3 linked regions of the Bombyx mori genome follow. The protein of the gene in region 2 interacts with the protein of the main gene of each other region in a pairwise test. Links are inferred from orthologs where the notes say so. Each region holds a gene or a part of one and is shown on either strand. Other genes may lie near its edges.

Region 1 (11,327 bases), on a different chromosome or scaffold from region 2:
AGTAGTGTAGTGTAGGGGAATGATACCCCGCCCCGGTTAGCTGCTTACTATGCAGTTAAAGTGGGGCGGGGTATCATTCCCCTACAGTAGGAAAAAAACCCAGTAGTAGTTTCATAATTTATTCTTAAAACATACAGAAATTGAATGAACATAAAAATGAACGTTACTTTATTGTTAATAAATAAAAATTAAACATGCATTGTGGTAGGCTAACAAACACTTCTACAAATTTATTACTTAATCTCGTTGTCTTACGTCATTTATACATGAAAATTCTTTTCAGGAAAAATCCGACGCTTAAAATCTGGTCAAATTTGTCGCACATTGTCTGGTAGGTCTTTTTGGTTTGATGTTTTAGTAAAATGTACCTAACATTTATTGTTTAACTATGTACTGTATGTAGGCTTAAGTGAGTAATAATTTTCATTTGAACATCCATTAACCGGTCATTGATACCAAAAATATTGTTTTCCTATTTATGTATTTACAATAAAATTACTTTATTTGGTAGCGCATGTACCATTTATTTTATTATCGTTATATTATAATATCATTCTAATAATGTCAATTATATTGTTTAAGCTGCGCTCTGGACGCGTATTATAATAAAATAGTATTATTTTTAAAATACCACAAGAATGGATAGCTACAAAACGCGATTTGTTCGTTTATTACCGTATTTATTGTATTTAAATATGTACTTATCTAATAAAAGAAACTTACATACAACTGTTCATTACAGCTTTTTTTTTTTTTTTGGTCAGGAGGAAATCGCCGGACTTCCGCCCTCCACTGGGGACGGCGGGCGGAGCATGTCGGAGTCGAACCGACTAAAACCTCCTGTCGCTCAACAACCAACGTCCAAACCTCACATGAGACAGAACTCATGAAAAGGCAAAGGGGGGAAAGTGAAGTGTTTAGTGCGGAGCACATCTCTCCCATCACCCTCCCCCTCGGGACGCCGGACTGACATTACAGCTTGGCATGCTTTTAGTTCTATTGATGTGGCCTATTGATCTCGAACGGATGAGCACAGCCATCGTGACTATTTCTGACATGAAGCCGTCACGCATACTGGTTTGATGGGTTGGACAGACATTATACAAGAAAATTGAGTCTTCAACCTCGTAACCTCGTGTCTCAAGAAGGACAAAAACATTCAAGTTTTTCTTTACACATTTAATGAAGCTGCGATAACCACTTAACATCTGACAGGCCATGAGCTCGTCTATCCGTCTGTAGAAATAAAAAATGCCTTCGTTGAGAACATCAAAATGTTTAGAATTAAATTATAACATTCCTATTAAGATCAGTCTTCGATGTATCTATTTCTATTTCTACAACAAACAAATAAGAGGCAGTCTATTTAGACATTTTGAAATTAATAATTATTATTATGCGAAATAAATGTCTATGTTAACAACATTCAAATTGAAATTTGTACATTTATTATGTGCTTTTTCATAAGATACCATGACCACAGGGAAAAACTACATGTTTGGCAAGAGGGCATTTTATTTATAGCTGTATTATTTTATAGGCAAAGATAGAAAAACAATTAATATTGAAAAAAATTGTAAAATATCAAAAATATCTATACAACCACCTTGCAGCCATTTGACATCTTGAATTAATTACATTATTGATTGATTTGAGGATTTATTTTTTAATTAACTCAATTAAAAATCATTGTAATTTTTAAAGAATACATTATTTCATATTTTACTAGACATTCACAGATCCTCAGATTACAAAAAAAGCATAAGTGCTACTTTTAGAATTAGCAATTTTCATGTTTTACATTTATTAGGTCTAATATTAATTATTTTTCTGTATTTAAGAGTTGAAATTTTACAAAAATATACTATTTTATTAATAACATTACTGGTGTGTAATGAAATTTGCTTTTAGAGTACTTATTGTGTTAGGTTTATAAATAATTTGTAAACTTTGAACCAATGTGAGCTAATGTTTTAACAAACAAGAATCAAATGAAAAGGAACTTAAAATACCTAGTCTTCTTATACATACATTTTATGTCAGTCTTCAGTTATGGACAAACAACAAAAATGTGTATTAAACATACAATATCATGCATTAAAGAAACAACTTAATGTGTTTACAAAATCATTTGTTATGTGTATAATTACCTCATATCTAAAAATGTTTGCCATAAATAATTCTGATAATGAACCATTTTTTTCTTACCTATATAAATAATTGGCTTATTATTATTTTTCATTAATAATTCATGATTTTGACGTATATCATATCACTTAGCTGAACTGACACCCTTGCTTGTTTTGAATAGTACTTTGAACCCACACATTAATGTGTTCGACCTCTTTCTAAAATTAGCTGAATGTTATCTAGTGTTTGATAAATTACTCTAAAATTTGGACGATCACTTGGATTATGATTCCAGCATTGCTTCATTAAATCATAGACACATCTAGGGGTATTATCTGGGCAAGCTAACACATTTTCATCCTTCAAAAATCTAACAACTTCCTCATGGGTCATACCAAAGTATGGTTGTAAGGCAAATGAAAATATCTCCCACAAGCATACTCCGTATGCCCAAACATCAGATTCTAACGTGTACTTATTGTAGAGTATACTTTCAAGCGGCATCCACCTTACTGGGATTGCATCATGTTCATCACCCTTATAATAGTCTTGTAAATAAATTTTGTGTGAGAGTCCAAAGTCTGCAATCTTTACAACCATGTCATCATTTATTAAACAATTTCTAGTTGCAAGGTCACGATGTACAAACTTCCTGTCCGATAAGTACAGCATTCCTGATGCAATCTGTCTGGCAATGTGAAGAAGATCTAAGTGACTTAATGGTGCAGCAAGCAATCGTAGATCTTCACGGTGTTCTACTGGTGCAAAACTAGTAACAGTACTGCATGCTCTTAAGTATTCATTTAGATCACCTTTTCCCATGTACTCAAAAAGCAAACACATTGGACGTCCTATAGCACAAACTCCAAGTAATTTAACAATATTTGGATGGTCAAAGTCTGCAAGTAGGCAAGCTTCTCTTTCAAAATCCAATTGTAAATCATGAGAAGCTTCATCTTTAAGCATTTTAACTGCGACCAAAGTAAACTCTTCATCTGGTATAAGACCTGGAGCTTTTGCCTGAAATACTCTACCAAAGGCCCCTTGACCCAAATCACGAATATATATTATGTTATTTCTTGGAAACTCTAACTTTTCTAACTTAGGATTGAGTTGTGCTCCAGTTGTATGGTAGGCAAGATTACTTGGCAATTTATCTAAATCTATATCCATGTTTTGTAAATTCCTGCGACTTGAAACATTGCACTTAGAGTAATGATTTTTAACAATATAATGACATAGTAAAGCTATTCCTGCTATAGCTAAAACACATCCAAGGCCCCCTATTGATAATAATAAAACAAATGTGGGTGTAAAGTAATTCTCCATTATTAAATTTGATCCCTTAATATTGTCTTTCTCTCGACTTGAATTAGCACACATTGGTATCTCACAATACTGCCATCTCACGTTTGGATGCATAGTGTAACACCAAGGCCTATTTTCTTCACCACCAGCATTTCTACAATAATTTGAAGAGTTCTGCACTTCTGGAAACACTAATGGAGGTCTGGTGTGTTGATGGGGAAATTGCGACTCCCAAGCCTGACAAGCTAAACCAGCTTTTGTTTCATTAATTACACCTTGGTAGTAACGGCCATTACCTTTTACACAGGTTGTAGTCACCTGATCAAGGTCCATGTCAGTAATCCCAATATTATTACAGGAAACTTGAGAGCCTTTACCACTGTAATGTGGTAAATTTTCACATTCTGGTAATCGAAAATGACCCCTAGATTCGAAAAACACTCCTCGTTCTTTTTGATCTTCAATCACTATCCAGTCGTTATAACAAAATTGCATTTTAACTGCCATACAGTCTTCATAACAAAGTGGTAAGGCAAAGTATCCGACACCGTCCTTATTGATGCACTTCGGAAACGCATAAGCACAAAGCAATCTTTCAGCTTGAGTCCTGCATGGTTCTTGGAGATTTGAGATCATTTCTTTCCAAAGGCCACTTGTTATCTTCTCGTTGTCGAGTCCGCCAGTGTGGTTGTACCATACGTAGCCGGTAGAATAACTTTTACATACTTGCCCATTGTATGGACCACAATATAACTGGACTGATTTTGAGAGAAGCAGCAAAATTAACAGCTCGATGAACAGGTCCATTATGATTATTGTTAGATGGTTTTAGACTTCTCCGTAACATCTTACAGTGATCTTAACCACAACATTGTCAAAAGACAAAAGTTATACAATGGCGGACAGTGTATAAAGTTATGTCTGTATCGTATCGATTTTATGATTGTAAATTTTCGTAAGCTCTGACTTCCTAGTCCAACCAATGTTCGCGTTCGCTCGACTTCAAGCAAAATTTTGACATATACTACTTGAACTTTGAATAGACACCTATTCAGTGATAGTGGTATACATTTATAGGTTAATCTGTTTAATTTAGTTATATATTTATGTTTTTCTATTGAAATAAATTGTTGGTCACAAGACATAAAATCATTATTGTATTAAAATTTGAAGTCTTCGTGGCGTAAAGAACTAAGACGCCCGGTGCATTCCGGTGATATGCGTACCTACTTGAAAAATATTCACGAATTACTTTCACGGTGACGGAATAAGAACATCTAATAAAAATCAAATACGCAAAAATTAGAAGTTACTTATTTACAGATAGAAGGGCGTCTTGTGAACCCACACGGGTAGGACCTACTCTGCCTATATCCGTCGTGAAGCCGTCTCATGTCGCGTAAATTAAAATACGGTATGATTTAAAATTGTACCGAAAATGAACCTTTACTTCTACTTATTTTATTCGACGAGTGAATAAAAAAAAACTAAAATGAACACGCTGATTTCAGAGTAAAGTGACGTTGTCTAAAAAAATTTAATTGATAATTAATTAGATATGTATGTTTTATAAACCGTTTTTCATAAACCCAATGAGATTTAATAAAAACAGGCTTACTTAGCAGTTCATAACTTCAGGTTAGTAGTAACTCGACTCTATCAAAGGAGACTGAAACGATTACATACATTTTTGGGCCCGAATGTAACGTGATGAAACTAATATGAATTAATAGATTCAGATTTATCAGTACCTTGCTGAAAATTATAAAAGTTTTCTCAATCTGAGAGCCGAGTTAATAAAGATTTAGTAAAAGTTAGGTTATGTTACAATCTCTTTAAAAGAGCTGAATAATAACTTATTTAAGCAAGGTTATGTTACAATCTCTTTAAAAGAGCTGAATAATAACTTATTTAAGCAAGGTTATGTTACAATCTCTTTAAAAGAGCTGAATAATAACTTATTTAAGCATAAGTAAATGTTTATTATATCCATTGGATAATCATTTAAATGTCATAATAAGAGTGAATATCAATGATATATATTAGGTATGGAATATGGAATTGCTATCCCACAATTCACACAGCGATCCATAATTTCTACAGTATCCAATGCAACAATTTCAAGTCAAACGTGTGAGCGATCTTCGGTGTCCAGTGTAGAAGCAATTGTCGTACAAGGCTGGCAGAGTTGGAATCCGTAATAATAAAGCAGTGATCGTTGAAAATATAAAAACAGCCCGATAGATACACACTCAAAATGCGTCGAAAATACAAAACGAGTAAAGCAGAAAAAACCAACAAGCGCCAAAAAATAATTGTATAATCTATGAACAAACGTCATGTCAGCTTACTGTCAAAGCTGTCATCAAAAATACAATCGATTTTAATCGATTTGAAATCGATAATCATATTACTTTGTTAAGTAATAATAGACTTTTTCTTCATTTATGTATATAATCGCAATTAAATCCGGCGTATACCGTACTTGTATACAACAAGTATAAATCGTTCATTTAATTACTTTGCTTTAACTACCTAGTGCAATGTTTTTCTTTTTATAATCCTGTAATCGATTAATTAAATCGATCACACCGTTATACCGACAAAAACTAACTTTCTCATTTTTCTCCGGTCCCAGAAAGAGGATTGAGGTGATTTTTTATATTCTTATATAAAAAAATATGACAAATTTTTTAGACTACATTCCAAGTTATTACATTTTTGGCCCACGATTTTCCGTCTCCTTTATCTCTATTCTATTGTCTCTCATAAATATACAACTTCGGACACAGTACAGATGCGGTCGACATAAATATTAGTATTAATACTAAGTATGTACTGATAATGGAATGACAAATAGACTAGTAGTAGTAGTGACTTATTTTAATTGAAAACTAATGATTTTCAACTTTTTGTCGGCTTTCTTTAGTGTCAGACATTGTTACTAATTATTGATTTTACATTTCATTGGGACTTTTAATTTGGACTTTTTTACTTTCGAAAGTTTGGTTTTAAATATTTTCTTGTATGTCTTAAATTCGCGTTTCTTTTTGCGGTAAGTTGTGGATGTTGTAGCGCGCGGTGCATTGTCTATTTTCAGTATATACGCTTAATTTAAACGCAAGTTCGGAGCAGAATTAAACGTATAAAACGTAACGTTACCTTTTACCTTTTTTTTGTAAGTTCGCCCCAATTGAAATATTCCTAATCGAATGATGTAGTAAGTCGAATAATTCGATTGGAAATTCATAATCGCGTATCGTTAGTTGGTAGTACTGAAGGTATGAAGATGGTGGATTAGACATAGACAATACTGACATTGTGAATTTGTCAAACATTTTTATTTGCAAACACTTACCGACAATTTCTTCAATGAATGGCTGCGATTGAGAAAGTGAAGGTTGTGGTCCTCGGTGATTCAGGTATGCTTATTTCTTCTAATTTCGTTGTCGTCCATTTATTATAGCACATACAAGTAGGCACATAGAATTTCACAAAATAACAATACGTTTATTATAACGCTCCGCCATGACACCTTAATGATAGCCAACATTACAAAAATAGGTGCGAACGTAGTGGTCACATTCGATAATATCGATATTTGTTTACAATAATGAGAAAGTTGACTTATTGTTTTTAAATTTATCTGAAGTTTTAAAAATTAAAATTTAGTTTATCTCGTGATTATCCATAGTCGAAAACGTATTATAACATTATTATAAATTAATTCATTAATATACTTTCTTAAATAATAGTAGGCAGAAAAACTTTTATTACATTTGAATAGACATCTACGTAATATTGACGTTAGACTTTATAAAGAGGGTGTGCTAGAGCTAGTTGGCGCTCTGTTTCCACTTCCCACACCCCATTTTATATGCTTGTACTATATCTAGAATAGACATCGGGACTTAAATCGTTCACGTTAGTGAACTCGTTCACTAAATCTCGTTCCGTAGAGTGAACTTTGTGCTTAGTGCGAGTTTAACGTTCTCGATAGCGTAAAAATTAACCCGATTTTGTATGCAATTGGAATAGCGCCCCTAACGTAGGCAAACGATCCCATCCCATACAAATATTAGCTAACTTTTACGCTATCGAGAACGTTAAAAAACTCGCACTAAGCACACTGGTTACTTAAAATCGTTCCGTACTTCCTTTACGGGGAATCTATTCTGTATAGTCGTACTGCACATGGTTACAACTCCGGAATCGAAACCTTTTCAATCACAGCAGAAGCGATTTCATTAAAATTGCGATTTCTTCATACTTCAGGCAGACTTAAGACTGATAATAATAATGTGATAACTAAACAACACAAACTAAAATTAATTGAAATGTCTAGTTACCTAGTAGGTATACCGACTCGCAAAATGTAAGAGAAAGTACCTATTCTGAAAATAATGAAAATATGTGAATGAGTTCATTAAAATTTGATTCATCGGAACGAATCGCTCGCGAGCTACACAAATTTAATTTAGTATCTTTAGATTACATAATTACTATATTTTATAACGAACTTAGATTTTATTTTTGTCAGAATTTCCGTAATGAGTTTTGCCATCAGATCCATTATTGTAATCTAATTAGATCGATATATTTTTTATGGTTTCGAAATAATAAAGCATTTAAATTGTAGGTGTGGGCAAAACATCTTTAACACATTTGATAGCACACAATAAGCCCATTTTATCGCCGGGATGGACGGTCGGTTGCTCTGTGGAAGTTAAATTACACAAATACAAAGAAGGAACACAAGCCCAAAACACGTTCTTCGTAGAACTTTGGGATGTCGGAGGCTCAAATGGACATAGAAACACAAGAGATGTGTTTTACCAACCAACGCATGGTTTGTTATATTAGAAAAATATGTTTTAATTTGATTTTTTATGGATGAACGAGTTCACTGTCCATCTGGTACCACCAATAACGACTACAAATCACGTCGACATATACCTAGTCGTTTGTCAACGTTCAGACCAAAACACATGATTGCTTGGTGATAAAAAAGGGCTCCTAACCCTGTGGGTTCATACGCGACCTATCCACAGTAATAATTCAAATTTATAAAATGCATAATACACGATGCAGTTCCCATATCAAAGTTGTTTATGAATACTTGTTAAGTGCGTATTTATCATGGGTACATATGCAATCTTCCCGATAACACGAGACATACCACTCCAGAATAACATTCTTAGATGAATAGTAGAGTTAAAGAGTTAATTAAATATTTAAGGAATCATATTGGTGCACGATTTGACGAACAGAAAAAGTCAAGTGAATCTTCAGAAGTGGCTCGCTGAAATATTGAATCAGGACAGTTCGAATCCAACTTTACAGCATGTAGACGTCGATCCGGAACAGTTCTTAGGTTCCACACAGGTCTGTTTTTCGGTTCCAATATCTAAGTATTATTTTATGAAAATAATATATTATTTCAGAATATAGAAATTCCATATAGTTGTTAGTAGCAAACTTTTATTTAAAATGTTATTTAATCTAGCCTACGGTTGGGATTGCAAAATACTGCGAGCTTGGTTATTTAGCGCGTTGTTTGTCCAAATGATTTGCCATCAAATACTTATAATAGACTATAAATAGAATATAAATAGACTGTCTATTTTTTGCAATTTTTTTTTTGTTGCCTTTGCCCTTTTGGGCTTACGACTATACGGCCCATCTGATGGTGAATGGTTACCGTCGCCCATGGACTTCAGCAATGCCAGGGGCAGAGCTAAGCCGCTGCCTACCTTTATGTACTCTCCACAAGCCTCGTTTGAAGAAGAACAAGTCATCGCGCTCGGGAAACACCATGCCATAATGCCCTCAAAATACAGTCTGAGCTTAAACGCATTCTGTGCCACATTCACGCGGTCCGTTTCCTCACGTAGGCGTAGAAGTCAGGGCTATTCCTATCACATGCGGACGGGTAGGTGAGCTCACGGGTACAACCTGAGAGAATTAGCTAACACTAGCCCTAGCAAGAGCAGTGCTTCGCAGAATCTACCACCGGATCAGAATTGCGACCCACTGCGAAGACCCGGCGAGAAACTCAGTGGGTTGTGTCTGGGTTAGTTCGCTCGTCGAACTCTTCTTCATAATCGACGAACTCGATGAGGATGGTGACTGGATTATCTTGAAGGCATCATTATATTGTATATGTAGATCCAGCAGTTCCGCTGGCCATAATTAACCCACAGGCTGCACGTGTAAAAGCTTTGGCAATAATAATTAAACAACGTCACCTTGCTTCGTAAATAATATGTAAATTATTATTTGATTCGACAATAAATACGTAATCTGGAGAGTTCGATTGTAGATTCCGATTTTAGTGATCGGGACTAAATACGACGCTGCGGAGGAAAAACAAAGGAAAAATCAGTATAGAAGACTCGCAAGTAGTATAGCTGAACAATGCGGTGCTGACGAAATATTTGTAACCTGTCATCAGGCAAGGTAACCATTGAAAATATTCTGTTGTTTATAAACATGATTTTCAGTAACGCGAAATTAAATTATAATATTTCAGATCCCTAGCTCCAGGCTCTACGAATTCAGTGAAATTAACAAGATTTTTTGATAAGGTATTTCACGAATAAAGAACAATATAATCAATTAATCTGAATACTTTATATTCATGTCTAGTAGAATACATTCATATCATACATTTCAAATATATTTGCAGGTAATTGAACGTCGATACTATTCGCGAGTTAGTCCATTTTCAGATAAAAGACGTATTCCCCCGTACATCATGGCTACGTCAACTCCTCTTTCTAACAACAGACCATCTCAATATATGAGTCCAAGGTTTTATCATATGGATTAAAAATATTTGTATTGCCTATATTCAAATCATTCCTTAGGTTCGAAAACTAAAAACATTTTTTTCCTTTCGTAAATTGGAGTAAGGATGAAATATTGGACGCAGAAAAAATAATTGTTTTATTGTTTTGTTAATTAATAAAATCAGTTTAATGCAAAATTTTGAAAATTTATTGAATTATTTATAACGCCCAAACTCGAACGTAGTCTACTTGGAGGGAAGCGTCTTGACCATCGTTAACGTTCAAATTCCACGTCGGAAGCCAACCGCCTTGGCCATTCCAGAAATCTGTGGCTGCCTGTAATGTGATGAAACTAGTAATAAGTAAATTACGTTTGTTAAAAAAGCTTTGCAGTTGGTTTTAAAATGTTTTGCTGTTACTTACCATTGGGGAATTGTTCCACCAAGGCTTAGGAATAGGGTTCTTGACACCATCAGGGAAGAAACCATTGGTGCCTCCGACAGCTAAGTTGATTATGAGATAGAACTGAAAGTTTAACAATCAGTAAATAGTCTTCCTGTGTTTACATTACAGTATTTTAAAGAAAAAAATATTAAAAATAGATATAGACATATTATCTGATTAGTAAATGTCTTATATCAGTCTCTAGTTCCTACGGCACTGGGACTCCTAGGACTTTACTCTTAAGGCCCGTTTTGGGCGGTATGTGGTTTGTACTCGATTATTTATTAATGTTAGATTTACACTTTTTTCAACGGAAGCGTCTATAAATACAATCCTATCCATATCCAATCGACTAGCGAGTGCCCATGTATTTGGGAGGATTGTTGTAAAGTCTATATAGAAAAAGATATTACCCAAAGAAGAAAACAGCTAATAGCATTAAAATATATTGCGTCCGTCTTAACTTGTATTTATTTTAAAGAGAATGTAGAATAATCTGATAATCAACAAGACACTAAATTCAATCTTCGACGAGATCTGTGAGTGAGTTCAAACCTATGCAATCTGACTGCAAATGCCGTCTATACAACATATCTTGTGTACGTCGTTTGTCAAAAGCAAATTCAGTATAGTAACATTTTTGTGGGTGTGTAA
Region 2 (11,518 bases):
TAAGTGGTAACTGGAGCCAATAGACATCTACAACGGAAAATGCGCCACCCACCTTGAGATATAAGTTCTAAGGTTTCAGTATAGTTACAACGGCTGCCCCACCCTTCAAGCCGAAACGCATTACTGTTTCACGGCAGAAATAGGTAGGTTGGTGGTACCTACCCGCGCGGACTCACAAGAGGTCCTACCACTAGTAATTTCTTCTAACGCAAATTATAATTTTGCGGGTTTGATTTTTATTACACGATGTTATTCCTTCACCGTGGAAGCCAATCGTGAACATTAGTTGAGTACGTATTTCATTAGAAAAATTGGTACCCGCCTCGAATTCGAACACCGGTGCATCGCTTCAACACGAATGCACCGGACGTCTTATCCTTTAGGCCACGACGACTTATAATATATATATATATATATGTCTTACGGGGGAGTAAGATTGTAACTAACCTGTGTTGCCAAGATCGCAGCGGGATTAACGACGATAATAAGGGGAAAGCCACTTAGGCTGGTTTCCTATAACCGATTTAATCAGAAGTTAATATGGACGGTGTAGGAATTTAAATTTTCTTCAATATATATTTTTTTTTCGTTCAAGGAACAAAGGAGCCAACACTTCAGTATAGTCTGTCGAACCACGGTAACTTACAACTGGTACTGAATAGATATGTTTACAACATGAAATACTATAGCCGCAAATCTGGTAATCGAAGTTGGAAATGCGTCGACGGTTCGGGGAAGGAACCACGCTGTCGTGCCTCAGTACTCACCAACAGTTCTAGGGTTGTCAGAAGGTACTTTTACTTTATTCGCTAACGATCTTACAAGCTACCTGGTGTTGAGAATGGATTTCATAGACATATTATTACACCTCAACTTAGTCAGAAACATGCAACCATGAGCTGTACTTTTAATATTAGTTTAATTTGTTATAATAAAATAATATTTAATATTAACCTGATAGATATTGCTCACCCTGCCCTAGTTTCTTCATTACTCTTAGAAATTCTTTCACAATCATCATCATCATCATTAAAATCTATATATGTATTTAAAAATGAATTGGTGTTCGTTTGTCTCGCTAAAACTCGAGAACGGCTGGACCGATTTGGCTAATTTTGGTCTTGAATTATTTGTGGAAGGCCAGAGAAAGTTTAAAAGGTAGATAAATATGAAAATGCTCGGAATTAAATAAAAATAACAATTTTTGTTTTCCCTTTGATGTGTCCCTCGTCGGACGGATTCCTTTTGTTTGTTTTAAGTTTATTTTATACAAAAGGTTAGGTAGGTCTTTTATTTATCGATTGAGGCACTACGAAGTCTGCCGAGTCAGCTAGTTATATATAAAAAGCGTGCAATAGAAAATTTGCAATGAATTCATTTATTCTCACAGAACCGGTTTACACAATCATCCGTTTCATGACAAGAAAATCATTAAGAAGATACAACGCGGCGGAACTTTTACAACTTTGAAAGCTGCTCAAACGGAAGTGCAATTACGACGGCACCAAACAAAGAATAAGCCAATGGATAACTTAAAATAAATCTGCTTCATTCTTTTCTTAATACTGGCTTTTTTTTTGTATTGTTAACTAGCTGAGTCCCGCGATGTTACACGCGGTTATTGTCGTAACGCGGGTGACGCCGCGGGGCAAAGCTAGTCTAAAAAAGTAGTCTAAGTTACTCCTTATATCATCAGCTACCTATTAATGAAAGTCCCGCCAAAATCGGTCCAGCCGTTCCAGAGATTATCCGGAACAAACAGACAGACAGAGAGACAAAAATTGTAAAAAATGTTGTTGTACGTACCGTATATATATTTATATATGCATGTAGTAAAAAGCGGTTATTTCAATATTATAAACAAACACTCCAATTTTATTTACAGGTATAGATGTAACTAAAACTTGCATTTTTTATGACCACCCTCAATAAAACGCAGAGGTCAAAACAGAGTGTAATTTTCATTCGCGACAGCGATACCAGATGGAGGGAATCTCATCTCTGTAACGTGTCTTACCTATAATTGTGTACCATAATAATGGTCCAACATTAGAGACTTCAGATATCGAAGATCTCAGCTTTATGGTTATTGGCTTTAAGGTTCAATTTAGGATGGGTTTCATAATAGTATTGTTAATGGTGGTCGGGATCCCAAGAACAAATAATATTCAACGATGATAAAACCCAAGAGTCCATATGAGCATCTTTAAAGTAAATCTAATTTATACGCTTCATGTCAAGATATAGTCTCTAGATTGTCTCTCCCACGCCTCTGCTTCATAAGCGCTGATAATACAGATTCTAAATGAGTGATAAGGTCGCGACGTGTGCCATGACAAGGATTAAGATACTGCAACCTATGAATTAGCAAAGGAAACTTTGTTTAATGCATAGCTGGTTGGACGAGCTCACAGTGAACCTGGTGTTAAGTGGTTACCGGAGCCCATAGACATCAAAAGTGTAAACGCCGCCACCTCGACATATGTGGTCTAAATCTGTTTTTACAGTACAACGGATGCGCCACCCTTCAAACCGAAATGCGTTACTGTTTCAAGAAATAAGCAAGCTGGTGGTACCTACTCGTGCGGACTCACAAGGGGCCCTACCACCAGTAGTGTCTTCGCGCCCTGAAAAAAAATAAAAATCTAGAAACCTAGTAGGGTGTCTTGTCATCCTGCATTGAAGGGTGGGACAGCTGGTGTACTGTAAAAACTAAGACTTGGAACCCATATCTCAAGATGGGCTGCGGAATTTACGTTGTTGATGTCTATGGGCTCCTGCGACCAATTAACATCAGATGAGAGCTCATCCGTCAGACCGTCCACTAGTGATAATCACGTACAAAAGTGTTACATTTATAAATATTTGAGTCAGTTTTGCGTGGGAAGCTTGTCGTCAATCCGTTTTGAATTTAAAATTGGAATTGGAGAGTTCGCTGAAAGAAATGTATGTTTTCAATTTTATTGTCTATTGTTAATTAAATTTTCGTTTGTGACAAGAGCTAAGGTATTTGCATAAAGGAAAATCTTAAAAACTCAAATATTCCACTTTTTTTTTAATCACCATCGTTTGCCTTACAACTAATGAGAAAATATACAAATTAATCACAGTTTATTTAATGGAAACTCCTTGCTGAGTCAGCGTGTTATCCTCGTACGTCTCCAGTACGTGGGCCAAATGTTCATTGTCTCTTGGTTTCTTGAACTGTCTACGCTTCTGCTTGGCCTTCTTCCGTTTGGGAGCAAGCATCTTCTTTGGCCCGTGATCCTGCATGGATTTGATCCCTTGCTTCTCGAGGTACTCCTCGATCTTCGCGTCGTCCATCGCGTCCACCGCTGTTGCACGCCATAATTTCACGAATTCGTCATCTACCTGAATTTTGCAAGAGATTAATGGTTTGATTTTATTGAGTGGACGAGCTCACAGCCCACCTGGTGTTAAGTGGTTACTGGAGCCCATAGACATCTACAACGTAAATGCGCCACCCACCTCGAGATATAAGTTCTAAGATCTCAGTATAGTTACAACGGCTACCCCACCCTTCGAACCGAAACGCATTACTGCTTCACGGGCAGAAATAGGCGGGGCGGTGGTACCTACCCGTGCGGACTCACAAGAGGTCCTACCACCAGTAATTACGCAAATTATAATTTTTCGGGTTTGATTTTTATTACACGATGTTATTCCTTCACCGTGGAAGTCAATCGTGAACATTTGTTGAGTACGTATTTCATTAGAAAAATTGGTACCCGCCTGCGGGATTCCAACACCGGTGCATCGATCGCTACATACGAATGCACCGGACGTCTTATCCTTAAGGCCACAACGACTTCACAATCTTTCTATCTATCTTTTGAACTTAAAATTAATTTTTGGCTTAAAACCAAGAAAATGGCAGGAGCTCATAGATAATACTATATCTGAACAATCTCTAATATATTTTATGAATATGAGATAGTATATATTATGCGGGCTCACAGTGTGCTCCCTACAAATAATTAGACCACAACGTCTACTTACGTCTAATGTAGCAGTCTTATCATTGTAGAATAATATTTTCTTTTTATCAGTGTGCCTTGTTATATACAAAATCTCTTGTGCCAAATGTTTCAGTGCTCTCTCGCAGTGAGGCAGCGACTCTTGAACATCTTCCAATAATATACCTCCCAAGCCTTTGAGGTCTTGTTGCTTAAGTAACCTATAAAATTAAATTATTGTTGATACTGGTCATCGATATTAGAGAGGTTGGTCCTGATGAGTTTGTAAATTTTTAAGTTGATTGGACATTTTGAAGTCGGGGGCAAAATGACTTTCATAGATTCTATTTATTACATATAAACAAACATACACAACACGCTTAAAATAAAAGTGTATAAGAGTAAGACAATTTTTTTTTTATTGCCTTTGTGGGCAGACGGGCATACGGCCCACCTGATGGTGAGTAGTTACCGTCGCCCATGGACTTCAGCAATGCCAGGGGCAGAGCCAAACCGCTGCCTACAATAAATGAAATGCAAATTGAACAAGTACTTTTTATTTATATGATTTTTGTCAGGTGATGATCTTTAAATCGTTTTCTAGTTACTACATTTGAATTATGTAAATAATGAAAATATTATACGTACCTCAGTAAAGATTTTTTATCTTTTATTTTATAAACCGGTTTGAAGTTAAACTTTCCATCCGGAGAGCATTCGATTTTAGGATTGCTCTGTAGGGCTTCTGTTTGTAGCCACTTGAAAATGTTTACAGCAGGTTATAAAAGAGAAATCAATTAAAATAGAATATTATTTATAAAAAGCATTTTAATCAATTTGGGTGTTGTGGTACTTGTGTGCTGGGGTATAATAATACTGTAATTAATGCCATCATTTTCCTAAAGTAATTACTCATGATTATTTTTATACATTATGTAGATACAGTTAGTGTTAATAGGGTGTCTTGTGAGCATGCAGGGGTAGATATAACCACACTGCCTATTTCTTTACTGAAGCATAAGCAATATAAAAGTGAGATTTAGAACTCATGTCTATATACTCCAGTAACTGCTTAACACCAGGTGGTTCGTGAGCACATTAGACTTAGTAATAAAATAAAAATTGCATTTATCATCAGCTATAAGAAAATGTGTGTGTTGTTGTAATTATTATTGAGGTAATTTATTTATTATTTCAATACTTATTAAAAGATACCTGTTTTATTTTATTTCCGACATCCAATTGATTTGTCTCATCTAAAATCTCATCTAAAGACAGTGGATGGTCATCTCCATCTTGATGCCTTGCTCTCATATGCCGTACAATACGCGCTAGCACACCAAAGCGATAGGACGAGCTGCCAGTCATAGTCTTGTAACTGAAAAGGATGATGATCAATCACAGATTTAACCAATAATTATAATATAACAAAAAATAATATTATTAGTGTTTGCTTATTGATCTAAATTCGACCATAATCATTGACACCTCAAGGTTTAGATTCAATTTAGTATTAAATTTTCCCTTTTGTTTCGTTACTTAGTGATATAAAAAAAAATCTAGAACTGTTTTCTGATAACACAAAAGCTCTTTAATAGCTACTAAATTAAATAAAAGGGAGAGTTGTCAAACAGAGAAAGAACTGGTATCTATATGCTCTATCTCAATATTTTATCCATTGTAGCACTAAATATGATCAATTCTTTTTTATATATTTTATAAGATTTTAGCAAATACACTAAATGATAAATTATTTTTTTAACAATAAAAAGCTCGCTACATATAGCCTGTATCAAGGCTATCATAATATAAATTTTCGAATTCCAAATAAATCCTGTGTTTTTTATTTTTCATAATTTTTTTTCCAAAGGCTTTTTCTAATTTTTTTTATTCAAAAGTTGATATTGCTATAAAAAGTTTATTAGTATTATTTAATAGAATTGGCGATTAAAATTACCTATAAAGCATAATAAATTATGGGAAGCAATGGTACTGATGTCATGAATAGATATTGCTGATATAGTAATTTGACCTAGTCAAAAGATAAAACTAAATGTGATTTCTAGTTTATTAATGAAAATAGCATTAGTAAATGATGCACATATTTGTTTATGCGGAACACAGTAACTATGTAAATTCAATAGTTATTTTGATAACAGAATATTTTAAATTATTAATTATGTTGCCCTAGCCTTTACTTACTTACTAGCATCAAGCTTTGGTCCGGAGCTGACTGAGCTGGATGATTTCGATTTCTTTTTGCTGTCATCTTTGAATTCAGAGTCATCCCTTTTCTTTTTTTCAATGCTGAAGAGAAAAGAATAATACTTTATTAATTTTGTTTCGTTCTAATTTGACAGTAACCTTTCGATGGGTTGAACTATAGCTCATGTAAAGTGTACTTTTATCAAGTGTGACTATGCTGGTATTCAAATACCATAGACCTGTATAATTTTTTCCACGGCAAAACATTTCTAACACGTTTTCATAAATGGATTATAAGATGAAGTAGCATTTTAGATAAAAATCATGTTTCAAAACAATTGGTGACATTCACATTATATCTAGGGGCTCAGGTAATCACTTAACATAATGTGGGCTGTCAGCTTGATCAGATTCTTTGAAAAAATTCATTACTTTAAATTAAATGAAACATTTTCCATTGTATTCTAATTTACCTAGGGCATGCCAGTCAATATAATCTTTAAAAAAATAGGGCCTGTGCCTTGATCATATTTATCTAGAATATTGGCTGCTATTAAATTAGGAAAGATATTATATCTTATTAACATTTAAATCTTCTACTTTTCTCTGCACAAGTGATTTGTTCACATTTCTACTCATTTAGTATTTCGAAACACATATTTCCATTCATAACTTTATATAATGACTCAGTAATGAATATTGCCACAAGGAAGTGAATTGATAGTAATTGTATGGGCTACGTGAGTGACAGAGAAAGTGTGCGATGGATGCCAGTATGTCTCCAATCATTGTTGTGGACTAGCGAATAGTTTAGTTAAAAATAATGTAACAGACCTCGGGGTCGCAAGTGCCTTCTTTTTAAACGCTTCCCGTTCCCGTAAGAGCGCCGGGTCCATATTTTCGTCTTTTAAACACAATCACTAAAAGTACGTATCAATTGTATTAGTATTTTGTTTAATTGCTGTTGTAATGTAGTCTATTTTCCACTTCCAAATCCTGTTTCTTTAAAATCCGGTTTGAGCAATTTGACATGTGACATATGACCATCTTTGACAAATGACGTGAGGGAGTTCATATAGAGTCCCTTCTTTATTTCGCCTGGTTGTGTTTTATGTAATTAACACCACAGTTGGAACAATATAAATTTTATTGTTGTAGCGGCATAAAGTAATTACATTAAATTGGTTATTATCACATTATAAATTATTTTTGTTTTTCATATTTTGGCGGTAAAAAGGTATTGTCACAGACTATATTCTTTTTCCCACATCTCGTGCGTTCCGGCTTACGCATAATAAAACGCCACACCACCCCCCTACGGAGAAGGAGAATCCGCAGAAAAAGAGAAAAAAATATCATAGGTCGAAAGGTTTGGAGAAGTGGACTCTGCGACCTGATCGGGTGGTATATTGAGGTGTATGCGTAGGAGTAGCAGTTAGAGGTGCCGAAGGCACGAGTGGACATGAAGGGACATTAGTAGCATCCGGTTGCGCTGGTTGAGGCACAGAAACCCGCGGTGCTGGTGCTGGAACGAGATCTACTAAAGAATGCTCGACGAAAGCTGGCTTAATTCTGTCGACACTGACCGTCACCTGTTTCCCTTTTACATCAATCGACCACGTTTTTCCGTCCTCGGCTCTAGATATAACTCTATGAGGACCAGAGTAAGGTGGTTGCATTGAACGTCTAACCGAATCCTCCCTGAGCATTACATGAGAGGCGGTGGAAAGATTTTTAAATATGAAAGGTGATGGTTTAGTGTGTGAGGAACATGGAGTGGGACGCAATTTAGACATACGCTGTCTTAACTTTACGACAAAATCCGTCGGGTCCTCGAAGCCAGAAGGACCGGGAGGTACTAACAGTTCCCCTGGAAGCGTTAATGTTTCTCCGTAAAGCAATTCCGCTACTGTTGCTTGTAGATCTTCTTTAAAAGCCGAACGCATTCCTAATAAGACCAAAGGTAATGCATTCAACCACGAATCATCATAACACATCAGAGAGGCCTTTAATTGTCTATGCATGCGCTCCACGAGCCCATTGGCACAAGGGTGGTAACTAGTAGTGCGTATACGTTTAGTACCACATAAATTAGTAAGGCGTCTGAAAAGGTCCGACTCGAACTGTCGTCCCTGGTCGGTAGTGATGACAGCAGGTACTCCGAATCGAGCAATCCAACCGGCTACAAAGGTGCTCGCCACTTCTTCTGCTGTTATTCCGTGCATAGGCCAAACTTCGGGCCATCGAGTGTAGCGATCCACAGCAGTCAGGCAGTATTGGAAGTCAGAACAAGATGGAAGAGGGCCTATGATGTCAATATGGACATGCTTCAGTCGAGACGTAGGACTGGAGAAGTGTCCAAGTGGAGATTTTATATGCCGCGTCACCTTACTTCGCTGGCAAGCAACGCAGGTTTGGCACCAATAACGGCAATCTTTGGCAATGCCAGGCCACACGAAACGGTCTGAGATCAATCGAATGGTTGATCTAGTACCAGGATGGCTAAGATTATGTAGCTGAGCAAAAATCGAGACCTTGGACAACTTCGTCTATAAATCTTTGAAACGTTTGGCCTGCGTTGCGCAGACCAAAAGTCATGTAATTAAATTCGTAGAGTCCGAAGGGTGTTATGATGGCGGTTTTACAGATATCCTCAGGCGCAACAGGAATTTGCTGATATGCCTTAACGAGGTCGATGGTACTAAATATACTACACCCAGATATGTTATGGCCAACGTCACCGATATGGCGAACTGGGTACCTGTCAGGTATGGTACGTGAATTCAACGCACGATAATCGCCGCAGGGTCGCCAGGTGCCGTCGCGCTTAGGGACCATATGAAGTGGAGAAGACCACGAACTTTTCGAAGGTCTGGCTGTCCCGCACTGTACCATATCATCAAAAACCTTTTTGGCCTCTTGAAGTTTTTGAGGTGCCAGACGTCTAGGACGACAAGAGACTGGGGCGCCCTCAGTGGTTAAAATATAATGAACTGTGTTATGCTTCGGCTCACGAATAAGTCCTGGTGGCTTCGTAATGGACGGAAATTCCGCAAGAAGTGCACTAAATTGGGATGACGGAGCGCAGACAACTTTGACGCTGGTCTGGTCTAAAACAGCGACGGCCGCAACGCATGACAACCCGGTAATGCTATCGACGAGTCTCTTGCTGGCACAATCTGGCAACAACCGATAGTGCGCCAGAAAATCGGAGTCGATGATGGCGGTGTTGACGTCAGCGATAATAAATCGCCATTGAAATGTGCGGCGTAGCCCCAAATTAAGCGCCATTTCTATGTGACCAAAAGTGCGTATCTCACTACCATTGGCAGCCGCTAACGTATAGTTTGAACGTGCCGGCTTATTTGCTAACCACTGGTATGGGTAACAGGAGAGGTCAGAGCCTGTGTCTATTAAAAAACGGCGCTTGGTTGCACTTTCGGTGACAAATAATCGGCGACTCTCCTTTAAGCAGTCAGACGTCGCCATCATTGACTGCTTTTGTCGTTTTCCGAAGGTGGCGGCGGCGTCCAGGTACATGGTTGAATACACTTAACAGCTTTAGTATTAAATTTCCTATGGTAAAAGCACATTTGAAGCTTACCAGGCGTTTGTGAGCGTCGTCGCTGGTTTGAGAAATCCCGGGTCCTATTTCTACCGCGCTCTGCAGTAAGCACAGCAAGCTGACGCGTGACCTCATCCAGACGCCGTGTGATATCTTCTAACGAAGGGGGTGAGACGGCAGACGTGCTTGCTGAGAAAACAGCAGATGAATGAGGTGCGACCATACCAGGCGAAACTTCCAAAATTTTGTCCGCTAGCTCAGCGACTTTGTCCAGCGAGAGTTCTGATTGGGCGGCCAAAATTGCTTGGAGATGTTGTGGGAGGCGACGCATCCATAGCTGGCGAAGCAAATTTTCATCAGTGAGGGTGTTTCCTGCCAATGATCTAAGATGACGTAAAAACTGCGAAGGACGGCGGTCACCCAACTCAACATCACTGACAAGTTGCCTGACACGTTGCTCCTCAGACGTGGACAACCTACGGATCAACTCGGATTTGAGGCGACCATATTTGTCCTCTGGTGGTGGTTGGAGAATAATGTCTTCTACCTCCCCAATAACTCGGGTATCTAACTGAGCAATCACGTAGTTAAATTTAGTCAGGTCAGCGGAGATGCCTGAAATCGAGAATTGTGCCTCTACCTGAGCAAACCAAATTGCAGGCCGATCAGGCCAGAAGGGAGGAAGTTTTATGGCTACTCTGCATACTGAGGTAGGTTGAGGAAATAATGGGTCTGTGGGGGGTGGGTCCGTTTTATCAATGCCTTGCATTTTAAGTTTTTGTAACTCAGCCTTTAGGATGGCATTTTGTTGTAGTAACAGTGTATTTTCTTCTCTTACTAATTGTTCGTTTGCCTCCATTATTGAACACTACGTTTACAATTGTAAAAAAATTAAAAATAAGCATTTATACAATGTAACAACTTAAAAAATAATAATAATAATAATAAGTAAAGAGGAAATTGAAAATTAATGATAATGGTAAAAGATGGCAAAATACTGACTATAAGAGACACAGTAAAACAATGAAATAAAATTATAGTAAACAAGAAAATATAAATTAGTTAAATACAGATGTGATGTTAGCACCGACTTACATTTCGTGACTATTTACTCTAAAGCATTCATGTAGATAAAACCTAAAACTGTACTTATTTTGCCTCGTAAAAACAAATATTTCCTTACTACTAATCGTACAATAATACCTTAATATTATTATTAACTACAATGTTATACAATGAATTGGCGGAGCAATGAAGGCCCGTTAACAAAATATGATTAACTATTGTTACAAAAGGAACCTTTAAATTAAATTAAAATTTTGTTTTTCTTGTTTTTTTTATGTCGACAAAGACAAAGCTGTTATATATGCAATTATGTAACAAAATTAAAGTTACAGTATAGGCGGAGAATATGAAGAAGTATTAAGATTAAAATAAAAAAAAATAAAAATATATAAAACACTTCACTGAGTTAATCAGAAAACACAAAAAAAAGAAGATAAGTTCCATGTTGTGGAATGCCGCACCAGGTGTTTAACCGCTTGTACTTGATCACTCTGCTGTGCGCGGCGATGCTGCGCCAAGTGTATATGGTTTGTAGACGATCTTGCCTGAATGCTGTGCCAGGTGTATATAGTTTGTACTCGACCTTGTCTGGATGCTGCGCCAAGTGTATATGGTTTCTACTCGATCTTTATTTGTAACGATCGAGCACGTCGGGGTCACCAATGAGGGAGTTCATATAGAGTCCCTTCTTTATTTCGCCTGGTTG
Region 3 (11,321 bases), on a different chromosome or scaffold from region 2:
TTGAAAATAAATTTTAATAAATTTGAATTAATATTAGTGTAAGAAAAAATGATTTTATTGTAAAAAAAGCGTGGGGTGCATGGTATCAGTAGTTATAAATATTTTATGAACAAATATGAGTAGTGGGGTTTATCTTGATAATATCCTGAAAAGCACCTCACGTTTTAATTCAAATTTATTTTCTATTTTTAGTTGGATTTTCTATAAAAGCGTGTTTTGTTAGTTTTTTAAACTATTATTTATTTATTTTCTTTAAGACTTCATACTGAGTTTAAAACGATATAAAATTGTGCAATAAGAAATGTTTAACTGTTCTTTATTTAGTATTTTCATCGGTTTTCAGTCGTCCAAGACCACGAAAACTGTAAACTATTCGAAACGGTGGATGACAATATAAAATGGCAAATTAAACCGTAAAAGTTATTTTAATTATGTATTTCCTTTGCCTTAGAAGGTAGACGATAACGACCATCTTAGGTTAATAAGATGTATAGCCAAGCCGCAATAGACAATATATATTTATATTGCAATTAAAATATGTTAAATTGTATTTAACACATGCAAATTTGTTTCTAAACAGTGAAACGTTTTTTCGTCTAATAGGGAGATCGTTAGAAACATTACAACTGTAATGTTTTAAACTTTCGCGTTTATATATTTTTCTAGTTTTAATTCGTTACCAATTATTGTAGCAATTTTTTTTTATTAATGTAGTAAATACTACAAGTGCTATTAGTAAGATTTTTTTTATTGCCGTATAGGCAGACGATCATCCGGCCCACCTAATGGTGACTGATTACCAGTGGTGGTCAGCAATGCCAGGGGCAGAGCCAAGCCGCTGCCTACCGCATGTATGCATTGTTTGCATATTACCTGGTAAATACCTTCTATATAAAATCGCTATGTAAAATTCTTATTGACACTTTAAAAGAATTTTTAGTTTATTTATGTACGTATATGTATTTATTTATCTATAAACACTGTTATAGCGAACCATCACTGACACTAAATTTAGGATAAATAAAATATTTCTTACCTACTAAGCTTATATATGATTCTGCTCCGGATATTCGATGTGTTCCAATAAAGGAACGATTTAAAATGTTGCCTCGCGGGCTTGCATCGCAAATTTGGTACCTGCTTAGAAATTATACGGTCAGATTTTACCTCTGAGTTTGGACACGTTTTCAACCAAATTAAATATTAATATGAAAGTGAGTATGTGTAAAATTTTCTTACTCAACCATTCAAAAATGGATTTCGATGAAAAAATCTGAAATATGTAGTTTATAGTTTGGATTAAAACACAGCGTACTTTTCAACACGACCCGGTCGGATATATCTGCTACAATAAATACGACAGTGTGTTTGCTGCTTCGTGATTTTATGTACCAACAAATTTACAAATCGACCGATAGCTTATAAACCAGATAGTGGACACAAGCAACTCTTTATTTCGGGAAAATGAAACGTACATATTACGTAACGCACGCAATTACCGCTGTACACATTGAGCGTTCGATAAATGAAATTTTTATTCTTCTAATTCTTGAACTTTAATGGAATTAATATCTCTGCCTATACGCACATTGATATATTTAGGTATCAACGGATCGGCAGCCTTGAGCAGACGGAGTAACACCGTCAACAGTGATTTCTTCTTGTAATCGGCGAGTTTTGAATTCCGAATGAGTTTCATATTCAATTATAATGACAGGTACATGACTGCTTTGAAATTATAGGGCCAAGTTGATACGTTCAACCCGACTAAACGCATTGCGAGATAACGATACGAAATAAGAGTGAGGGAATTTTTTTTATACTGTAGAGTTCCGTATCTTTTTTGGAACGCACAATCATAGTTCATTATTGTTAAGATTGGCTGTAATTAATTCAATTTGAATTTTATTCTATGATGTGACTACCACTTTCTTTTGGTTTGCACAATATTTTTATTCCTTTTCGGATCACAGCCTCTTGAAATATGAGCCATAATTGCCGTTTAACTTAACAAAAAGGATACTATAAAATATAATTTCCAATCGCTTACGTGCACTGTATATTTAAAAGAGTTGTAAACTTGAATTTCATGTTTGAAGTTCATACTTAAGATTATAGTATTCAAACAACAAAAAAAAGGAAATGGCGTACAGAGATCCGGAAATTCACGGAAAAACTAGTGTTTAGCGAAAACGGAAGCTTCAAGACTGCACAAAGATACATCCTATCTTATAGCGTGAAACCAAAGTATTTTATACGGAATGTCCAACCTTAAAACTGAAACGCATGAGTGCTTCTTGGCAGAAACAGAAAGAACATTGATACCCGCTTGTGTGGTTTAGTATGCTATGCCACGATTACCTGACCCCTATTTTTATTGCAAAGAGTATGTAGTTTAGTTTGTAGCCCATATCGCATTAAATGATTACCAAAATCCATAGAAATCACAACCTGAACGCCAACACCTACCTTGAGGTATGAGGTTGAAATCTCCTTTGTATTATACAACCTCACCCTTCAAATCAGAATGCCTGACTATTACGCTCGATAGTACAGTACCGTCTAGTTCCTCTTGGTTCCTAATTTATACCAAAAGTACCAAAGACAGAAATTACGTGGATAGTTAAATAGGAAAATAAAATATAAATATACCACTGATTAACTAGATTTATACAGTCCCGCAAAATTATAATTTGCGTAATTACTGGTGGTAGGACCTCTTGTGAGTCCGCACGGGTAGGTACCACCGCCCCTCCTATTTCTGCCGTGAAGCAGTAATGCGTTTCGGTTTGAAGGGTGGGGCAGCCGTTGTGACTATACTGAGACCTTAGAACTATATCTCAAGGTGTGTGGCGCATTTACGTTGTAGATTTCTATGGGCTCCAGTAACCACTTAACACCAGGTGGGCTGTGAGCTCGTCCACACATATAAGCAATAAAAAAAAAGTTACAAGATAGCATGTACTCATAGCTATTGAAAGAGTTTTTTTTTACATTGTCCTACTGATTTCTCTATATGTGGGTTAAATATGTACTAGGAATTTTGACAGTATTTCTGTTTTTGTACAGTAATAAGGTAAAATAATCTGCTATATGTAATTGATATTTTTCAATATCAAGTTTTGAAGAATCGGAATGTGTAAAAGCCTCTACAGAACGAATGTGCACCAAGTAAGAAGAGAAAGATTCAAGTCGCTGTTTGAAGGGTCATAATAATTGTCGTATGATTGAAAATGAAAATTATTCCACCAAATAATTTTTCTTGTTTTTATTTTGTTCCATTTAAAAACCGCTTGTAACAAATTTAAAAAAAAGAAGTCCACGGCCCTGTAATTTAAGTCCTCAATTATATAGCAGTAAGATCGGGAGCATGTGATTGCAATTTCGAGCTTCAACTTATACCGTATTTATCGTTTGCTTCACTAAATTAGTTACATTTACAGCTCCACAATTTTTTTTTCTTTCTATATTTATAGGAATTTATACCAAATTACCTATGTTTTAGGTATTTATACCAAAAAAGGTTTACTTTACAGGTATTACAAATTAGCAAACTGTCCAAATGAACAGCAGGGACCGTTCATGGACAAGCCCGAACTTTTCATACATGCCACGTCCAACAAGCGTCCTTGTATTGTTTCGCGGCCTGTGTTGCGTGAACCCACAGTGAATTATAGCCGACGGTTCGACTTCTCATTTTATTTTGTTATTTTTTAGGCCCTGTTACTTAATTTTTATCAAGTCGCATGAATTATGACGAGGCGGGACCACACGCGTAGCATTAATTACTCGTCGCCGGCCCAGGTGAACTAATCGATTCAATCGAAATTCGAATAGGACTTCTTTTCCAGAAAAACTACTACGAATGAGAGAGAATCGATTCTTATAAGACTTAAATTCTAATCTATACCAACTAATATGCCGTATTAGATATTTTGTAAAACATTTTTAAAGCGTTATTTTATCTTTTAAGTGCATGAATTGAATGTTTACCGAAACGTATGTTTGAAGATTGAAGCGCTCTTAATGGGATGGTCATTTGTCGAATGGTCAGTGGCAGTAAGTTAATAATAATGCGCCCAAAACTAGACCGGGCCATTGACCCGGGCGGGCGGCGCGGGCGCACCTCTCCTGCCTCGTTGGGCCACTAAAATAGCGCTTTTTGCTTTACTTTATGCCTACACAATCAATTTTGAACCTGAAAAATTTCATCTTAAAGTATGTGTTAAGTATTGAAGGATTGTTAAACGTTTTATTTATTTTTAGATAGTAATAAAATAAATATACAACTTTTAATAATAAATAACTTTTATTTTATTTTATTTCTTAGCTTTATTAATGTATTTATAAAATTAATTTAAATTGTTATGGGTCAGAAAAGAGAACACAAGTAAATATCGACAACATATTTGTCTCTTTATTTTACATTCTCTCGAAATATTTTAGTGTTTTGTCGTCCGGTAAAAAAAGTAGGTATAATATGTTCTGCTAAATCTCCGTATAGTCCAGTCCAAGATTAAATCGTATTTTAATTCACAAACCTTGTTAGTTTTGTTCCAAAAAAAATTTTAAGACACGAGAACTTTATTTCAAATAATCCAGTTCCATAGCTCTATAATTTATATACCAGTTCCGTTGCTACGAACCATCAACATTCAGGAAGTCTACACCAAAGATTTTATGATCAAATCACTGATATCAATTTATCGTTACAAATTAGTAATTTGGAGGATCCTGAGTTTTGTCCGCAATAAAATTATTAATGGTACTCAAATCTGTCTCACTAATAAGGTGTTAACGAGGGTCGTTCGTTTTATGTGCTTTTTATTGACACTTGATTTGTCGGCTACCTGCCGGTTAGTATTGGACTCTTAGGAAACATTAATGGACGATTCTGAAGTGGCCCGATTATGTGTGCCAAACAGGATGGCAGCATTTTAGTGATTTTTACGGGGTATCGGACGTGACATATTTTTGTTACGCCTCTCATTTCCACTTATGTATATTAAATGTTGACGAGTTTTTTATGGGAAACGCAATATATTTTTAAATATAGAATCATAAATTTCAGTGATATTTGTAAACAAATATGTAATATACAATATTAATAGGTAGAGACTTCGGCAATTAATTTTATCAAAAAAAAAACTGCACCTACGATCGCAATAATACACTTCAATCGAATATGCAATTTCGAAAAGGGCACATGTCGCATATTTTGTCAAATACGTTTTTTCATATACATGTAGTTTTGAGGCTTACCTACACCCATTTTATAATAATTCCCGTAATTTTCAATTGCTAATTAACACTTAAAATATATTTCAAAAGTTAATATTTTAAATTTTACACTGCTTTAGAAAATAATCAGTTTTTTTTCATTTCCTGAACATTTTACATTTTCAGAGGTGTGCCCTTTTCGAAATTGCATATTCAATTTATATAGAGTTGTGATCGAGATAATTTTTTTTAACTTACTAACCTGCTATGGCCATCCAAGGGTAGAAAGTGTGGTTAGTAGGCTGCTGGTGCACTGGCTGCGCGGCTGATGCTGCTGATCCCGGAAGTGCACACTGGTTGCCCCACGGAAGCGCTCTACCAGGACTTGACGACTCACTGTATCGAGCTTCAGGAGTGCATGCTGCCGGCCTCACTAGTGCTCCCAGACCTGAGCCCCAGGCTTCTTTCCCACCATAGCCATTCTGCTGCTCACCGCCTGGCTTTGAACAATCTGCTTTAGGATATTGCTGCTCTCCAGCATAGAGCTTGCAGGCCGCCGCGACAGACGCGTCGTACGGTGAATCCTGAGGACGAGGCTGGTGCAAAGCGTGTGGCTGTGCATACGTGAGGCCCAGAGGGAAGCCGCGGTACTGGTCTCCACCACCGCCGCCCTGGTGCACTCCATGGGCCCCGTAAAAACCACCCTGCTCGAAGTAAGAGTTCATCGTGACCAGTCACAGGCACTAACGTCACTCAGGGAACACTTATGTCATCGCGGCCCCGCGCGCCGTGATAACGCGACCTCCGCCAATGTCACACCAAATACGGACAACGTAATTTATTTTTATTAATTTTATTGCCTCTTAAACGTCACTAAAGCGTCATAATGGGCTTCGTCGGCGATAAAGGCCAGTTGACGTGTGTTTACTTTTTACGATTATTTTACGACTCGGGAGCGCGTGCCGCGGGTTTTACGACTTTTTAAGCGGTTTCGTCTGCGGCGCCGGCTCGTCTCAGGACGTCAGCCGAGAGCGCGTCTCCACTGTATGAAATCAGAAGTGATCGTGGTGGTGTATGGGCCGGAGGCTTGTGTCGCGAGCGAAGTTTTCCGTCGCGTGTGGCGGGAGCGCGCGGCTGTGTGTCGTGTGCGACCGGCGCGACGCGGCTCACGCAATGTACTGAGCGCGGCTGAGACACGCGCGCCGCCCCGCGCTCACTGCTACCATCGCAGCCCAACGACTATTGTTCCGTCCCCTTTTCGCTAATCACTATAAATATTATCAGTTACGCTCTCTTTTCCTTTCCTTATCACACCCACTCGAGCACGTGGCGAACGTTCGTCAAACAAACTAGAACTTTAGCTGCTCTACTTCAGAATACCTAGGTTAATAACTGACATTTATATGACTTAAGAGAGAACTCAATAACATCAAATCCTATTATAAACTATATGTTTTCTTTTAACAATTTATGTATCTTCGGACGACCGCGTAACAAAACTTTTGAAGAGCCTCAACAAAAGCCTCAAAAATGAATAGAACGAAAAAGTTAAGCCGCAAAAGTCGTAAACTCATAAACGTACAATTAGTGAAACGGGCGAGTAAAGAAAAGATTTTACAGCCACTCGTCGACCGTGCCACAATGAGCGTTCAGTATCGTAACAAGGTGCTGAATAGAGTGAGAAGTCGTAAAGATGATTATTATTTCTTCTACTACCTGTTTTTACGAGTGATGTTTCTATTGCTCTCTTGCTTAAGGCGCCCGTTCGAGAGCGAAAGGGACAGCGCGTCGAGCGCGGAACGGTTATCATCCGAGCGGGGCTGATTAGTGTATAGCGGTCTTGGTCTCGCGCTGTGTAGCGCATGCAGTGGACAACGCACTATCGGAGGGTAAACAATAGCGCATTATCGCGAGTTCACTTCGCGCGACCAAATGAAGTCGTCAAACGAATGAATGGTGCGCCCTACCCTTAAGAATTGAACGCATTTTTATTGCGCCTTCGTATGTAAATATTTCCTTTAGATCCGGGTATTGAGACGTTTTTTTATTTATTTATTAAAAATGATATATGTAAAATGACAAGTTTAACACTTTTATTTTAATTAATAGATAATGGTGGTTTACGTTTCATGAATTAAATATACTTAAATTTTTTATGATTTTTTAAAACTTACCTTATTTCAGGTTTTCGTTAACTTGCAAAATAACTTATTGAACCAGAACCAAATCACGACACCAAACTAGAAATTAAGAAAAATATTAATAAATTAGAATTGAATTATATATTAATGGAACAACACAAGATTGCCCATGGGTACCTACATCCAAAACTCGCATAACACAAAACGATTGTGACAAGTGTTTTAAAAGCATAAATGATAATTATCTATTTATATTATTAACTTATCGTATTATAAATTGGCAGACACGTTCACTTTGCATTGCTCATTGGAGCCCATGGTCATCACAGCACGAAAGCGGTCATTCACCTTGAGATCGGTGTCTCAACTATATTGTATAATAACAGCAATTTTAAATCAAACCAAAGCGCAGGACTTGATAGACTTGCGCTACGTACCTGTGTGGGCTCACTAGGCTCTACAATTCGTGAAGATTATTAAAATATTACTTGAACTCTTATATTTACGTTAAAGACGAATAAACTAGTACCTACTGAATCTTTAAGACACAACTCTGTACTAGTTTATTTGAGATACGTCTAAAACTTCAGGAAGAGAAGAGAGCATATACATAGCTCTAGTTTGAAGGCTTCCAATGCAGTAAGAAATTAATTAGTTTTTTTATCGCACAAACCCGTGAACGAGCTTATGGTCCATCTGGTAGTAATTGGTACAATGGCACCATCCACCTTGACACATACGGTGTAAATTTCTACTGTACTGTTTCGCAGCCAAAATACGCAAGTTATTATTGTCTAGTAATTTACAAGCTCGAACCTATTAAAGTTCACATACCACTTAATACCAGGGGGCTGTGAGTTCGTTCACTCATCTAAATAATAATAAAAAATAAAAATAAACATATCCAACTGTTCTCCTGAATTTAACAATCGTTTAGTTGACAATTATAGCTATAATGGGTATTAACGATTGCTATTATCTAGTTAAAAATGCCCATCATCAGAATATCAAAAATTTACAACTAAAAACATTTGAATACTGTTAAATAAACTAAGAAACTATGCAGTGAACTGTCATCGGCACGCAATCACATCAGAGTAATTAATATAGGTAGCGGTCTCATCTTAAAAAAATATACTAGAACTTTCTATACTAGAACGTCATTGACGGTAATCACTGTCATATAAGCCTCCAACATATCTCTCCTCCGGAATGAAAGAAGACTTATTTTAATCTGATGATAAAACTTAAAATAGGTATTTTTTTCCTACCTATGGTGATAGCCTTGAGAGGCTATTTCAGCTTCACCCTAACATGTAGGTGAGCTGACGGGGCTCAAACCGGAAATGTCGCTAACACTGGCCTAGCAAGAGCAGTGCTTCGCAAAATCCACTACTGGATCGGAACTGCGACCCACTGAGAAGATCCGGCGAGAAACTCAGTGGACTATGTCTATGGGTTAATTCGCTCGTCGAGCCCTTCGTCGCAAGCGACGAGGTCGGTGACCAGTGCTTATGGTACCTAAGAATAAGTAAGTTGTTTGTATTTAAACAGCGAGAATCGTCGGCTTTATCATTTAATTAGAATGTTCTCCGGTCAGAAAATCAGTGAAAAATTTTATATTACACATGTACTTGCTGTGCTGTGACGTTCGTGTGACGACGGAGTAAGAATATAATGTGTTAACACCTCTATACTATCCCAGGGAGTCGTAAGAACTAATTAAAGGAATATGCACAGGACATCAGTGCAAGAGAAGGAAAACTAATACCTATGTGTAATAAAAATCAAACCTGCAAAATTATAATTGGCGTAATTACTGGTGGTAGGACCTCTTGTGAGTCCGCGCGGGTGGGTACCACCACCCTACTTATTTCTGCCGTAAAGCAGTAATGCGTTTCGGTTTGAATGGTGAGGCAGCCGTTGTAACTATACTTGAGACCTTAGAACTTATATCTCAGGGTGGATGACGCATTTACGTTGAAGATGTTTATGGGCTCTAATAACCACTTAACACCAGGTGGGCTGTGAGCTCGTCCACCCATCTAAGCAATAAAAATAAAATAAACTCGAAATTACACCCTGTACCAACCTGTTTAGCCAGCGTGGTACAGTAGGCTAAATATCTCCATGGATCACTTGGAGAGGGCTATGTTCAACAGTGGAGAGCCTGAGATCATGTACCTACTTGCTGCAATTACACAAATTAATATAACATTTTCTAAGTTTTTTGAGAGTCGAAAGATTAAAGCTACTTTTACGGTTCGATCTTGCGTTTATTATTTTAATTTTACTACTTCGGCAATTTCGAATGATTTACAGTTTTTCGTGATTCACGGACGAATGTGAATTATTTAAAGTGAATTCGTGAATTGTTCGATCAGACTGAACGGCACTAATCTGCTAGACCGATACAAGTTTTTTTTTTTTTTATATGTGTGGACGAGCTCACAGCCCACCTGGAGCTAAGTGGTTACTGGAGCCCATAAACATTCACAACGCAAATGCGCCACCCACCCTGAGATATAAGTTCTAAGGTCTCAAGCATAGTTACAACGGCTGCTCCGCCCTTCAAACCGAAACGCATTACTGCTTTACGCCAGAAATAGGTAGGGTGGTAGCACCCACCCGCGCGGACTCACAAGAGGTCCTACCACCAGTAAGATTGATCGGACTGGACTTAGTATAATGCAGCAGAATAACCGCCAACATAGTTATAAGACATGATTTCATGTGTGTAACATCTTTCGGCCAATGCGTAATTTTATGTTTAAAACTCAATTCACGTCTTTTATCGACAACTAGGTACCTATGCCTTTTTGATTGGTAAAGCGCCTTATGGGGTACTAATATGCTCATAGTCACGAAGTAGCCATAACCTCCGGCTTAAGCATGAGACATCATTTAGACCCGATTGTCTCAAGGTTGGCATTATTAGCCCACTAGTTGGACCGTGAATCCATTTAGCCAACTTAAACAATAAACAAAATGGAAATCGAATAAGAAAATAAATAATCTTCTATTAAATCAGACCTAATTGGAAATTCCGTCTAAATAGAAAATTGTTGGTCTGATGATCGAAAATGATAAAATATATTTGTATAAGTAGTCTCATAGACATATAAAATTCACTATACAAAAATATTGAAGCCCACGAGCTTCGATATGTTTATATATAATTATATTTTTGGTTTATTTGTTATTTATACAAAAACAATAATTTATTATTGATGATTTAATTTTATCGTAATTTTATATTTTCTTTTAGCCCATCATTCGAAAAGTCATCAGTCTCATTAACACAGGAAGGACATTGTGATACCTGGACAGCTTTTCTAAGATTAACTATTTTCATGTACAAAAACATAGATTTAATAAATCTTTTCTGTTTACTTATTATGACACTGTGAGCTTTGATCCTAAAGCTTTCATGCGATCCGTCACGAGATTCGCCATACTAACAATCCAAAAAGCTGTTTTATTGCGTCACGACTACAAACAGTACGGCAACAATACGCTAAAACGATTCCGGCTTCCTTATCGCGACAATGTAACTAGTATAAAAAAAGATGGTAATATGCAAGTGTGCGGTCTCATTCAGATTCAAGCGGCAAATGTGATGAGTTTCGCATGGCGGGCGGCGCTTGCGCATGGCACGCGTCCGCGTTCATCGTAAACATAATTTTTACTACCACTCGAACGATCGTAAACGTCACGTGAAGTGCCCCGTTTGTAGAACTCCCAGTAAACACCGCTCAGATTATTTCGTATACGCCTCCGGGGCTAAACCTCGATATAAATTCGAAACTTTATTGACGTAGGCGGCCCGCGCACGTGGATTGTTATTATGCCGTTCTTTAGACGTTTATTGAACCATTATTGACTTGTTTAAAGTATCAAAACGTTTTAATATAGATAAAGGAGTCGCTTTTATGTCTTACGGCTTTATCGTGTCGGTAT

Evidence for each region.
Region 1: the proteins of general transcription factor IIE subunit 2 (region 2) and general transcription factor IIE subunit 1 interact in a two-hybrid assay, tested with the Drosophila melanogaster proteins (2 studies listed by BioGRID). The link is inferred for Bombyx mori from reciprocal best matches to the Drosophila melanogaster genes TfIIEbeta and TfIIEalpha.
Region 3: the proteins of general transcription factor IIE subunit 2 (region 2) and Ubx interact in a two-hybrid assay, tested with the Drosophila melanogaster proteins (2 studies listed by BioGRID, with this or other methods). The link is inferred for Bombyx mori from reciprocal best matches to the Drosophila melanogaster genes TfIIEbeta and Ubx.

Annotation. Positions count from the first base shown.
Region 1 is NC_085128.1:9,614,939-9,626,265, reverse strand, and holds the start of general transcription factor IIE subunit 1, read right to left. Parts: upstream 7,258-11,327; 5' UTR 6,861-7,257; coding exon of another isoform or gene 6,815-6,860; 5' UTR 6,797-6,814; exon of another isoform or gene 6,701-6,796; intron 4,246-6,700; coding exon of another isoform or gene 2,329-4,245; exon of another isoform or gene 2,322-2,328; intron 1-2,321. Other genes in the region: rab-like protein 3, read left to right, coding at 6,815-6,860, 8,078-8,287, 8,678-8,823, 9,761-9,897, 9,971-10,025, 10,127-10,270; BGRP4 (beta-1,3-glucan recognition protein 4), read right to left, coding at 10,449-10,565, 10,653-10,754.
Region 2 is NC_085118.1:15,263,951-15,275,468, reverse strand, and holds general transcription factor IIE subunit 2, read right to left. Parts: upstream 7,223-11,518; 5' UTR 7,079-7,222; coding exon 7,017-7,078; exon of another isoform or gene 7,013-7,016; intron 6,285-7,012; coding exon 6,180-6,284; intron 5,356-6,179; coding exon 5,193-5,355; intron 4,736-5,192; coding exon 4,626-4,735; intron 4,199-4,625; coding exon 4,021-4,198; intron 3,373-4,020; coding exon 3,112-3,372; 3' UTR 3,041-3,111; downstream 1-3,040. Other genes in the region: broad-complex core protein isoforms 1/2/3/4/5-like, read left to right, coding at 596-813.
Region 3 is NC_085112.1:6,100,837-6,112,157, forward strand, and holds the start of Ubx (ultrabithorax), read right to left. Parts: upstream 5,946-11,321; coding exon 5,483-5,945; intron 1-5,482. UniProt on the Drosophila melanogaster protein: Sequence-specific transcription factor which is part of a developmental regulatory system that provides cells with specific positional identities on the anterior-posterior axis. Binds the consensus region 5'-TTAAT[GT][GA]-3'.